2 linked regions of the Neodiprion lecontei genome follow. The protein of the gene in region 2 purifies or fractionates together with the protein of the main gene of each other region. This does not show direct contact. Links are inferred from orthologs where the notes say so. Each region holds a gene or a part of one and is shown on either strand. Other genes may lie near its edges. The genes, in order: vesicle-associated membrane protein 7 and syntaxin-17.

The links.
Region 1: the proteins of syntaxin-17 (region 2) and vesicle-associated membrane protein 7 purify together in Drosophila melanogaster (affinity purification with western blotting; 4 studies listed by BioGRID, with this or other methods). This does not show direct contact. The link is inferred for Neodiprion lecontei from reciprocal best matches to the Drosophila melanogaster genes Syx17 and Vamp7.

What each region holds. Positions count from the first base shown.
Region 1 is NC_060263.1:22,132,217-22,140,307, reverse strand, and holds vesicle-associated membrane protein 7, read right to left. Parts: upstream 6,095-8,091; 5' UTR 5,824-6,094; intron 5,650-5,823; 5' UTR 5,627-5,649; coding exon 5,607-5,626; intron 5,532-5,606; coding exon 5,321-5,531; intron 3,534-5,320; coding exon 3,396-3,533; intron 3,077-3,395; coding exon 2,918-3,076; intron 2,547-2,917; coding exon 2,454-2,546; intron 1,865-2,453; coding exon 1,796-1,864; 3' UTR 641-1,795; downstream 1-640.
Region 2 is NC_060261.1:5,330,224-5,334,635, reverse strand, and holds syntaxin-17, read right to left. Parts: upstream 2,657-4,412; 5' UTR 2,420-2,656; coding exon 2,285-2,419; intron 2,165-2,284; coding exon 1,969-2,164; intron 1,746-1,968; coding exon 1,534-1,745; intron 1,446-1,533; coding exon 1,229-1,445; intron 1,157-1,228; coding exon 1,020-1,156; 3' UTR 768-1,019; downstream 1-767. Other genes in the region: gastrula zinc finger protein XlCGF8.2DB, read left to right, coding at 3,865-3,921, 4,149-4,412.

The sequences.
Region 1 (8,091 bases), on a different chromosome or scaffold from region 2:
TTCCGTAACCGTATAAGAATAATCACCGTCGTATCAATAATAACAGAGAATTAAAATTTATTTATTGAAACATGTATTGGACAAAATTTAATCTCCAACATAACTCGATCTAAGTTTATAACTTTACCAATATGGAACAATGTCAGGCAGAAAAATCCAATATCTCGAAGCCAACAGACTGAAGCAAAATTAGAATATGACCTAAGACCGGACTATTACTCACGATTTCTTTTCGTTCTTTAACTGAATCTTCGCAAGTAATTGAGAAATTTTCATCGCCTATTACGGCTGCTACCTTTTTCACCGTTTATGTCAGTTTTCTGGAACATGGCAATAGGCTTAGTTTCAACAGAAGTGATAGATAATGTCATTGTGTGTGAGTTTATAACAAAAAATTGCGATAATTTTTTATAGCGTACTTATAGTAAGTTCCTCCGCGATGATGTTTTAGGTATGCACGTATTTATTTATTTATATGAGAAATACTGATTCATTTCAAATTATTGTTTTTCATTTCTATTTTTTGTCCCCAACAATTCCACAGAAAATTTCAATAACTTTTGATCATTACGACGGTATATGTGGGATCAATTTTGGGATTCGTTAACCAAAGTTATACGTTCGAAAGAGCGACGACAAGTTCTGTGTAATGACGAATAATATTTTTATTACGATTCATTTGAGAGTATAATGCAGCGGAGTAGTCAAATATAATTTAGGTGGGTACACATGGTGGTCAGTTTTTGCAGTGAGGGTTGAGGGTCAATGAATACGCACGGAAGATGAGGTGAAAAAAGGGAGAAAATACGGCAAAAAAAATTTCGCGTCCTTAAATTCGTGTTTGATCTTGGTATCAGCTGCTTATATCCAAAATACCTATTGCTTAACCAAAATCAGACGTTATTTTCAAAACCTAAAAAATGATACAATCCTCAAATCCCGGCCTATATCAGCATCGTCTTTATCTCTTGAAACGCTACAAGTCTTGTATGAAACTTTTTTTTGTATCTCTTTTCCTTTCCGAGATATTCGCACGGGGTATTTGAAACCGACCACCCTGTACTACGTGAAATATAGCTTAAAATAATGTTTATACAGGCTGTAGTTACTTATGTTTGAGCATATATGCTTATGATATGATAATCACAGTAGTAAAATAATTCGAAGTTAACAAAATCAGTTATTACCTACAGGTATGTACATTACATGATAATATGCCTTTATTGCCCCACTTTGTAAAAGGGAACAAGTATCCAGTTCATTTCTTCCGTTCAACTTTTTATTCCACTTTACTATCTATTAACAATTGTTGAAAGAGATAAATTCACGGTTACTCAAATTTCTTACTATTTAGAAACAAAATAAATGGTTGTTATATCACAATAAGTCTAGAATCTTGTGGCCAATGATCGAAACGTAATGCTTTTGAACTTTTACGACGATATTATTCAGCATCCGTCTTAACAGTATGCAATAACGATATAGAAGAAAAAACAAATAAAAATAAAAAAAATAAAGATGATAAACAATATATAAAGGTATTTTTATTGATTGAATTTATAAATTAGTTCAATACCAAATATCGCTCTCCTCCCATCCTTCCTCCTTCCTTCTACCTTACCGTGTGCCATGATTTGAAAACATTTCCATCAAAAAACAGTGCAACAGATTCATTGTTTGAGTACCTTAAATAATTTGGCCAATGTCTGCGAAAACGCTTAACATGTTCATTCATTGGTCAAGGATACCGGCACTGATTTCATACAATCCAAATTTAGAATTGTCTAAAATATCTTCAATTACCGACACACTTCTGCCATGCAAGACCTCCACAAGCCATTGCCACAACAAAGTATATTACAACCTGGAATAAAAAAAATAATAAATACATACTGCTATAATCATTCAATTCAAATAAAATGCAGGGAATTTCATCAATCATAAAAATAACGACCCGGCATCAAAAAATTGATTTTACTGTATCTATTAAAATTTATCATAATTATTTAAGCAGAGTAATATACCTCCGACTTGGGAAAAATTACGGCGTTAAATTTTAGTTTGTATCCGATGATAAAGTTTTGTTCTACTTTTCGATAAACATTTTACGTTTGATTTTACGAAGGAAACAAACGATGGATAGGCAAAATTTTGGTTCTTTTAAGTGTAAATCTGAATTTCTTAATTCTCTTACTTTATTTATCAACATTTGTAACTTTGCAAGATATAAAATTTGTAACGTGGGTTCATGAACAAAGCAAAACTTCACGATCCTTGGATATGACCTAAGTCAAAGGCTCCAACGATCCATAGCTCAAGGGTTTCTCATAGGTAAAGTTTTGGGTAAAGCATGATGAACTGTTTGAATAAGAGCAGAATATACTTTTTATGTGTATGATTGGTAGAATTCCTTGTGACACATTAGACGCCTAATTGTTGAGATTTATACGTACGATCAAAACAAGAGCCACTATCACATAAAGCTTTATGTTCTTCCAAAAAAGGGAACGAGCCAGATTTCTGCTTGTTTTCCTGAACGTCACAGACTGCAAGATTAGTCAATTAGTCATTAGTGCAAATTTTACTTTTTTAATAAAAACTATCTATGGAGAGGAACAATTTGTAGAATACTGAAAAAATAAAAATTTTCTGTAATGGTTTACTTGGTGGCGCTGCCAATTCTTGTATGATTTTTTAAAGATTTTCGTGGGAATGATGAAGATGATATGCATATATAAATCTATCAAACTAAACAAAGTCGATAGTTCAGTTTTCAATGGCAATTACTTCTCAAGAATGACATTTCTGCAACAAGATATTGCATGTTATGAAATTCGGTTGAAACTCGGCTTTTTAATCATACCTTCCAGAAGAATTGCCCTATAGATAACTTATAAGAGTAGGGATTGAAACTTACACTAGCAGTCAAATTCTCAGTTTTGTTTATGAGCAATTCTAGTCTTTCCCCTCGTGCCGCAACGTTATCGATATTCTTCACCATAATGTCTTTAAGTTCATCAAGTTCCCCATGCACTTTGGATAGTGTATCGATATCTGTGGACTCGCTGTAGTGTTTCTGTTTAATGTTAAGAAAATGAACTGTTTTAATGAGCGTTGTCGCAGGTAATGAAAGTAGATTTTAAAAAAGTAGCATATTCACTAAAAAATTTATAACAAGTTGAGAACTAAGATTTATTGATGTCAAACTTAGTGTTTTCTGTTTTTTTCTACACCTTTTTCAATTGACAGTAAGAAACAAAGTTCTTTCAATTTTTGCACCGAAATTTTGTCATAGTTATTGGTATGTGCATAAAAACCACAATCTTTCAGAGAAGCTGAATCGCTGCTGTGATCTCAAAAATTTTCTCCACGGGACTCGAAAACTTATAACTTACCATTTCATTGGCCAGCACCCTCGAAAACTCAGAGTTCATTGCATAGGCTAGAGCAGTTTGAGCTCCATGTCCATAAGCTGCTTCAAATCGTCTCTTAATTTCATTCAAGTATAAGAAGGCACGCGACCGTTGAAATTCCTGAAATTCAAAGTCACCAATCAGTTAATCAACAGAAACATTTGCATTTGTACTAAGATTGGTAAATGTCGTATTATCCAGACAATACCATCTGTTGATTGTAGATAACTGATGCTTATAAAATAATTACCCATGAAATTACGAGCAATATCAAGTTTCACTGCTTTTATTATGACGACAATTGTGAAATTTGTAATAGTTTGTCCAAGGAAAATGATTAAAAAACAGTTTTCTTCAAGAGTATTAAAAACCATTTTGAGAAATGTATCGAATATTATCAGTCCAAGCGAAACAGATTTTTGACTCTGAAAATTTGATATTGAAGACTTTTGATTTGCTGATTGCTCTACATTTTTGCCCCCACCCACCTTGTAATTTACTCTTCTTTTTCTGTGTCATTTTTTAAGATTCCAGAAGAGATGAAGCAACTAATTTTAGGTGCATCCTCGCATATTTAACTTTGTCCATATCAAAGTACGAAACGTTCTCATTTGACCAAATATTCATGCAACTTACACTATAAAAGTTTTTTGGCAAACTTTTCTTCTAAGTTCAGTTACGTATCTATGTAGTTGAACTAATTTTAGAGAAAACCGGTGTGCACAGAGCAAAACTTCAAGTAAATTATTTTGTGATTACATATAGCCTGAGAACATATAACGTGGCCATGAGCTGATACATATGGGTCATTCTCAGTCATTCTTATTTTTCTGTAAAATCGGCATTTGTTTACCGACTTGCGGCAATTGAAGACCTTGAACGAACGTCGTTGAGTTTATAGTTTGTAATCAGCGCCACTCGAACTAGGTGCGCAGTCATTTTGTCATTTATTTCATTACTGACACTCTGTGGATACAGTTGAGAACGAGTGAATGGAGTCTCTGCACTGGTAAGTTTTATTTTAAAAATATTCGTCTAAAAATTTTAATTCATTTGTATATTCACTTCTTGTAGTGTATAGATTCTAAGTTTTCTTGGTTAATCGCGTACAATAAATACATTTGTCATTATTTCTGTTTTTGTTACTAAAAAGTATCTCCCTTGTTTATATCTCCCCTGTTTATATCTCCCCTGTCTTGTTAAGGGCCAGGGGAAAGACACGATATCCAGGGGGGATATGAAAACTTCAAACTATAATTTTTTATACTGAATTTTTTATACAGAATAAAGTTAATACTCAAAAGAAAAGTTGTTTTCTTTCATAAAATAACATTAAAATCCTTTCCCTGTTCACAAAGTATCCTACTCTGTATATCAAGTCTCTCCCCTGGTTTCTTATAAAACAAGATAAAATTAATAAATTGACTGACTGCCTTGCAGACACGTTTAGAATGATTGTTTTGATCGAAACATTATAAAATTTAATTAAATTTTCAAAAATTTTACCGTGCCGCGTTTTATCAATAAGCAATTTACCTCTTAAGTGAGAATGACCTATATGCAAACGTCATCTGTTGATGTAAACAAAAGTGGAAACAAAATATATGATATTCTAGGTACGTTTTATATATTCTGGTTCATTTATACTTGTAACAATCGGTTATTAAAAACAGAATTGAAAGAAACGCAGAGAAAGCTAGAATTGACATTCCCAGATCTCAAGGAATTACATTACAGAGGTGATACCAGCTTTGTTTCTTTGTTTCTAAATTTTTAAACAATTGCGCAGCTTTGGATAAAACCCCTTTCCCGATTGACTCGTATTTCGTGTTAGTAAAAGTTATTTTTGTCACAAGTAGTGGGTACTGGGCGCTATGTCAAAGTTCTTGGAAATACTCATTACGCACGTCATCCGTGATGCACATGTATACAATCCTGTTATCGCACATGTAGTGGAAGAGGTACGGCCCTTGGGTATAAGTTAGCTTGTCATTGTGCGGTGGTATTTTAGCCAAAATCCGTTCGGTCACTTCGGCAAAGTTTCCAGTGCGCGCCGCATGCTTGGCGAGCACGGTTGGCCCACGTGCCACGACACTGTATAGAATAGGCATTCTTTCTCTGTAAATTGATAAGAAAACTTGTCGTCAATTGGATAAGACATCGGTATTCTTAACCTGCATTAATCCGATGTACTTTTCATTTCCTTGAATCATGGCTCGCCGATCTATCGGTCAGCCTGGGAAAACAATATAGTCAACTTCATTGTCGCCACGAAAATCGCACAGCAATTCTGACTCACTCGCATCGTTAGTGAGGAATTCTCAGAGAGGTTCAATATCAACTCTGCCTGCTGTGAAAGTTAGTGACAAGTCGCTGGCACGTCTAACCAGAGACAGTGGCAATGACCTACCTTAATTTGTGAATGCGGAAATTCTCGAGGATATTTCCTCGCCTGGCAGCTCTCTACTCCGTAAATGACCACACCAAAGACAATGTGCGCACTTGTTGCTGACCGCGAGTTATAGATTGCATCGGTTTACGGTGATGGTTAATCACTCGATAACGACGAAAATTTACGTCAAAGTTCAAATGAGTCAAAACACACTCATCCACCTACAAAACGAACAAAGCACCAAGCATGCCAAGCACTGTCAGCAGGCATTCAAGGAGGAAAACTCACGTCACCCGCTTTGTTTTCTGGCCACAAGAGTGCGCGCTATCGACGCGTCATTCACCAGTTACGGTGATTTCGCCCGCATATAGGCAATTAAGGGTACATGCATTACGCGACGTATCCGCCTGCATACAGGCAATTCGATGTACTCTTTATTCTTAAACTTCAGTCTCGAGCTGTTGCTCTGTCATACAGGCGGAATCACCCTGTGTTAAATGTCCCACGGTACGCACATTTGGAAATACGTTATATATTGGAAGGTTCGGTGTTATCACCGACGATGACTAATCGTGTAGTTTGCTATATGTATATATCTATGTTTTTTATAGGCAAACATAAATATTCTTTCAGACCTAGCGAAAGGCTGCTCAGGGCGAAAAATAAATGGATTAAAATTTTGTACAATATTTAATCAGTTCTATAAGGAATCAGAACGCTTTTTCTGACACTGTAGCACAATCATTTTACAGAAACTCCTGAAATCAGACCCTCGTAAATACACTTCAAATCCTCTGTGCAATATTTATAAGTTGTGAAGTTCGATACTTTTACAGTAATATATATCAGAGAGTGAAATGTCGATCTAATAGTTCCAAGTTTCCCAACTGAATTTTGTCCCAAACTACATCAAATGTTTCAGGAATATTAGAGAAGTTTTTGACTAATGATTCAATTTTAAATGTAACTGAAATATTTCTAAATATTGTGTAAAATATTTCTAATACAGCTCTGACAGAATTTTTTTTGCGTAATACTGCATTCATATTGTAGAAATACTGGAATGTTTTTAAGGAATGTATGAACTGCAGTAACGTGCATACATTTGTTGTTTTGAGGACGTTAAGTCGAGGGCTGAACTCGATTTCCAGTACAATGTTTGCAGCGACGTAGGTGTAGAAAGTTATAAACTTGGATTGACTGTATCCTTAGAATATAGCATCATTTTCAGCCATTAGATAGGTAAGTTACTTCGGTTCAAAGCATCATGGGAGGATGGAAAATTAGAAATTTGAAACATTACCTTATTTCAACTAGTGATTTTAGTTCTTGTAATCCTTGCAGACCTTGGATCGATAATTTATTCACGTCAGCAATAATTTTTAAATATTTCGACAAGTTTGTGAGCTGCTAAGAAATTGATAGAAATATCTTTTGAGTCATACGTCGCGGGTTTTGTCGTTTTGGCTTTCTATTAGAGTAAGGATTAATATTTGTACTTCTGCCTAAACGCAAATATTTGCATCGCTGCGTCTTGACAAAATGTCACGAATCATGTGTTTTTATTGGTGGATCGCTTCGATAAGAAACACGATATATGCCATCCTGAATACTGCGCGTTCTAGACGTTTTTTAATTTGACCTGTACCGACGACCAGGCAGAGTTCTACATGCAAAACTAGAGCAAAAGTCATCACAACGAAGTTTAAAATCATTCATGCGATACATTATACCCAGCGTCCATAAAATAATTTAATGCGCGCAGATAATATATAACTTGCATTAATCCATTTCATCAGGTTTTTGCCTCAATCAAAAAAATTACGGTACTCGGTTGTATATATTTTTTTTTTTTTCAAATTAACACCGATCTATTTCTTTTAAAATGGTATATCCCTCACGTGTCTGGATTTCACGAAATTTTCACCTCTGGAAGATACTTCGCAACGCGTGTCTATGTCTGCGGTTAAGTTATGTAGCACGCAGCGATGTTTTGCTCTTGGTAAGAACAGGGAGCGCCGTAAATAAGCGCAGTGCGTCAGATAGCGCATATATCGAGATAACGGTGCCGCGAGTCTTTCAGGCCGGCCCGCGGCGTAAACTCGTGTAGATCTACATTTTTCCCACCGCCAGTAACTGTAGGCGCGTGCTATTAAGCCGACCGAAACTTGAGGAGTCCCTCGGCGCCGCGTAAAATTACGCTAGCCAGTTCGCAAAGTCACATGCGCCGCTTGTAACTCGTTAGTCACATTCATGCAAGCCCGTTGTTTCGTCCACCGCCGATAG
Region 2 (4,412 bases):
CGCGAAACGTGCGATAAATTACTGATTTATCGTAACGAAAACTTACGCCGCTCCCGGTCTACGTCTTGTGCCGATATGCAATTGCTGTCAAAGTCCATCCAATCTCACTCCCTCCCCCCCCTTCGACCCAAACATACCTTTGCCGCTCGGAGTGGGCGAGATAACCACGAACTGTGTAGATGATAAAACAAATTGGATGATGAGAAGGGGGGAGGGGGGATTGGAGAAAGGCGAAAACACTGTACGAAAAAGAAAAAAGCTCCCTTAAAACAGTATTCTGTGTTCAATTTGCTGGATTGAGCGGTAGTTTTTAAAGAAGGAACAATTTTAATTCATTGACTATGAATACATATATTCAATGTGACACATCGAATGGCTCTGATCTAGCACGAGGTCGGTTTTTCGTAAATATACACAACAAACTACGCACCAACGATTGAACTTAACGGTTAACAATTGAATAAGTTCACAGTTGTTTCAATTGGTGGTTTCTATAATCGACTGTACCTGTAGAGTCGCAGCATCTAGTGGCACTTGTTTCAGTCGTCACGGTTGACAGCCTGCACCGTTAACCGCGAAAATTGAATTTATCTTGGATCGCAGAATTAAAAAAGTCTTGATCATCATCACCACCATCCCCTTGACAGAAGGTACGGGAATATTTTGTACGTCAAAGCTTTTAAGGAACCGCATTCCGAACATTAATTAGGTAGAATTATTTACTTATTTCAATGAGACTCCGATTGGACGTTATGCATAGTCCTGAATTTGAATGTATAAAATAGCGAGTGATTTTATTCAATTAGTAAAATATTTGTACATGGTTAATTACAATTTAGATCACAGTTAGGTACATTTTGAGGAAGGCTATCTTATTATCAAGCCATATATTCGTTCCGTATTCATATCCTTTTTATTTTTAGTGCGGATTTTACGGTGCTACTTGCTTTTTAACCGTTCCTTCACCTCTACATCATGGAGCAATGCAACTTACACTTTTTGCGTTTAACTTGTAATGGTCAAAGTTGTTTATTGCTAGCTTTTATATTTTCTGACGGCAAATCAGAACCATGAACACGTTCAAGTCTGTTTTCTGCTTGGCTTTCCGTACTTGATTTTATAGTTTTTTTCTTCAAAAGCGTTCCTCCAGTAAAACCTATTAGAAAAACAAAAGCGATATTACAACTTGTAATGATATTGACGACTTCATTACACGAATAACTTTTACCTAACAACCCACAACCAATCGCCGTGAGACCACCAAATTTTAAACCAGCGATTAAACCAACTGGACCTCCAAGACAGGTTCCAATTAGAGCCCCAGCTATTGGGTATGCCGCTATTTTGTATTTTCCTGCTTTCTCTAGGAACTTTGTACCTTCCGTGACATTTACTTCAGTCTCTTCAGTATTTTCTTCTATTCTGTTTACAAACTCTTTTTGATCCTGTGAAAGTTTGAACAAAACGTTGAAATATTATTTGAAAGAATTTTCAAACAGTAGTAGAAGCAAATTTCTCAAAAGTTAAACTCACGTGAACAAGTTGATTAAAGTCTACGAACAATTGATGCAGCTGTATCATATCATCCTGCAGAGAGTTCCAAGCATGCAGACAGGCCTGCTGCCTTTCCAATTCTTTCTCTTCTGCGTGCAGTTGGATATTGCCATCCTGAAATGGGTGGTTTGTGGCCTCATCTTCATCTTTGGTTGACAAACGGTTCATTGTAGGCAGATTGAGGTCCAGCGCTGCAATTATTGATAACTGAGTATTGTTGTTATTATTATTATTATTGCTGTTATTATTATTATTATCATTATTAATAGTATGGAAGAATAAACAAATTATTTATAACATGGCTAGAATTTAATCATTTCCATCTTACAATATCTGCTTTACTTTTTAGTTTTTAGTTTTCAGTCAGCAGATGTCCAAAAAATTTGAACAATGCGAAAATTATTCAATGCTTACCCAAATATTCTTTGATGGCATTCATTGTACTTGCTCTAGAGTATGCTGTGAGTTGATCGAACTTAGCGATATCGCTGTCTTGTACTTGGCCTCGCAGAACATCCATTTCGTACAATAACTGTTTAAGCTGTTTGACCAGACGAGAAGCATTCGTCTGTTCTTTATAGATACGGTCCCAGTCTCCGGTTTGTTTTAGCTAAAAAGTAAGACCATGATGATCAAGATTACTGATCATGTTAGCTGCCGTTTTTCTTCTCATGAGCAAAATATCGGGCAGATGGGAGATTGGGTTATCGATGTATGAAAAAAATTCAACCTTGGCGATATTAGTCTTATGTCTTCTGAGCATTCCTAAGTGATGTGGTATTGCGACGTCATTGAATTTGCTAATTGGTATTTCCAGCCGTTTGATTGGTTGCTTATTTCCTACGGTTTCACTGTGCAACGACATGGTTTGCCTACGTGTTTTAACCCAAGAAGACGTTAGCTGCTAAATTATCGTCTGACAGCGCTTGTTTATTGCTGATCCTTTTCAGTCACAAAACGACGTAGTTCGTTGGTTTGATTTTATTGCTTTCTAGTTACTTGAAACTGCAGATTTTAGCACCAGGCGCACTGAAAGTTGTTTTTCTTCTTTGTTATTTCTCTTTCCATTGGCGTATGTATCAAGGTACACCCCTAGACATGAAGACTAGAGAGAAGGAGACCGAACGCTGTACTGGGAACGTGGTCTATGAAAGTGGAGTACATTTTTAGCGTTAAATTCGATAGGAGTGCTGCTGTCGCTAAGATGGGCAACAGAGAGAGACTGAGAAAAGAGAGAGACCGCTATATCGAACTGAACAGGTCAAGGCCCTTCTTCCTTGTGCAGTTTTTTAGGTTATGTATTTGTTTTTAAATTTTAGCGAAGAAAAATCTACCTTTTGATGCTGGTAGGACAATAAAAATATTGCGGGCTTTATTCGATTGTTAGGCACCCCTGTCGAGTCAAAAGATGCGTTCCGAAACTAGTTGGCACCAGTAAAATCCCTAGGATGGAGGCAGAGCCAGCCCCTTGACACACGCTGCTAAAAGTGGTTCGCAAGATGTTCCTCGATTCTGCCGCCAATTTCCACCACTAGTGACGCTAGTAGTTATCTGACACGCTTGCGCGCGGTCAGCGAGGGCAGCGAGCGTGTCAGAAATCTACTGGCGCTACGTAGAGGAACTAAAAAACGGGGACAAAACGCGTACAATTTTTTAGTATGCGAGCAGTGGCGAGTGTCAGGGGGCTGGGCAGAGCTACTCAAGAACTCAGTAGCGCAAGAGAGGTAATAGATTGTTGATAGTACACTGGCAGCTAATTTCGGAACGCACTTAGAGGTGTTTTCATTTTCAACTGGGAGCCAGAGTGCCCACGAATGCATTTTCCCTAGGATTTCGTCCTCGCTATTGAGTGAAAAATAAGGATAAATTGCACGCAGTGTAGCCATTTGAAAACACCATAAAACGGAGTTAGAGCTACGCGCCTGATCGATAGGGTGAGAGAAATAGGAGATCGCTGATAGCACGGGCGGCTAACTTCATGTTATTCACGTACGGATCGAACGGAAACTAAACGCTTAGGATTGGTCGGACGGCAGATGTAAGAGAGCGCGACATTAGCAACGGCGTATTTGTTACCCAGTTTTCGCCCGTTAGACACTTTGACATGTGTTTATGCATCGTGATGTTTTGACAGTAGAAACGTCAAAACATTCTATATCGGGACAAGAAAATCGAAATATAATTGAATTGGTGAATGGCTTCCGGACTTGGAAATTGATAGTCAAATAAAAGACAGAAGAACAAAGAGAAGTAGAAGATAGAAATAAGTGATGAAGAAATTGATGTGATATCACCAGCTCGGGGCTGACGATGAATTCCCGGTGCATCAAAGTAGAACCGCTTGTCGAATTCCCGGAAATTGAAGTGGTGCGGTAATAAATAAATATAATTACATGTTATTACAGTTTAACCAAACTTCACGTTCTGTTGATATTTTCTGCACACAAATAACAATGTGTGGGTATTCGATTTTATACTGCAATTGCTGAAACTATGTCAATACATGCAAAAATAGGGCTGGAAAGTATTTTAACTTTAAAATAGAAGCAAAAAATTCACAAGCGCTGCGATATTCATCATTTTAATTTTCAAAGGTTCCGATGGATACCGAATTTGATGCGACAGATAACAGATTAGTTGGGGAAGAGGTGCTGGCATTAGAAGAAGTGGACAATCCGCAATTCTACGCAACGATATTGATGAAAGAGGAGCACTCTGAGGAATTGTATGAGGAGCCGAGCAGTAGATTGGATCATAATATATCGCTTTTGTCTGAGAGGGTGAAGAATCGTGGCGACGATATCAGTGTGGAAATAAGTTCGTTGAAGAGGAGTTTTCGATGTCCTTTATGCAGCAAG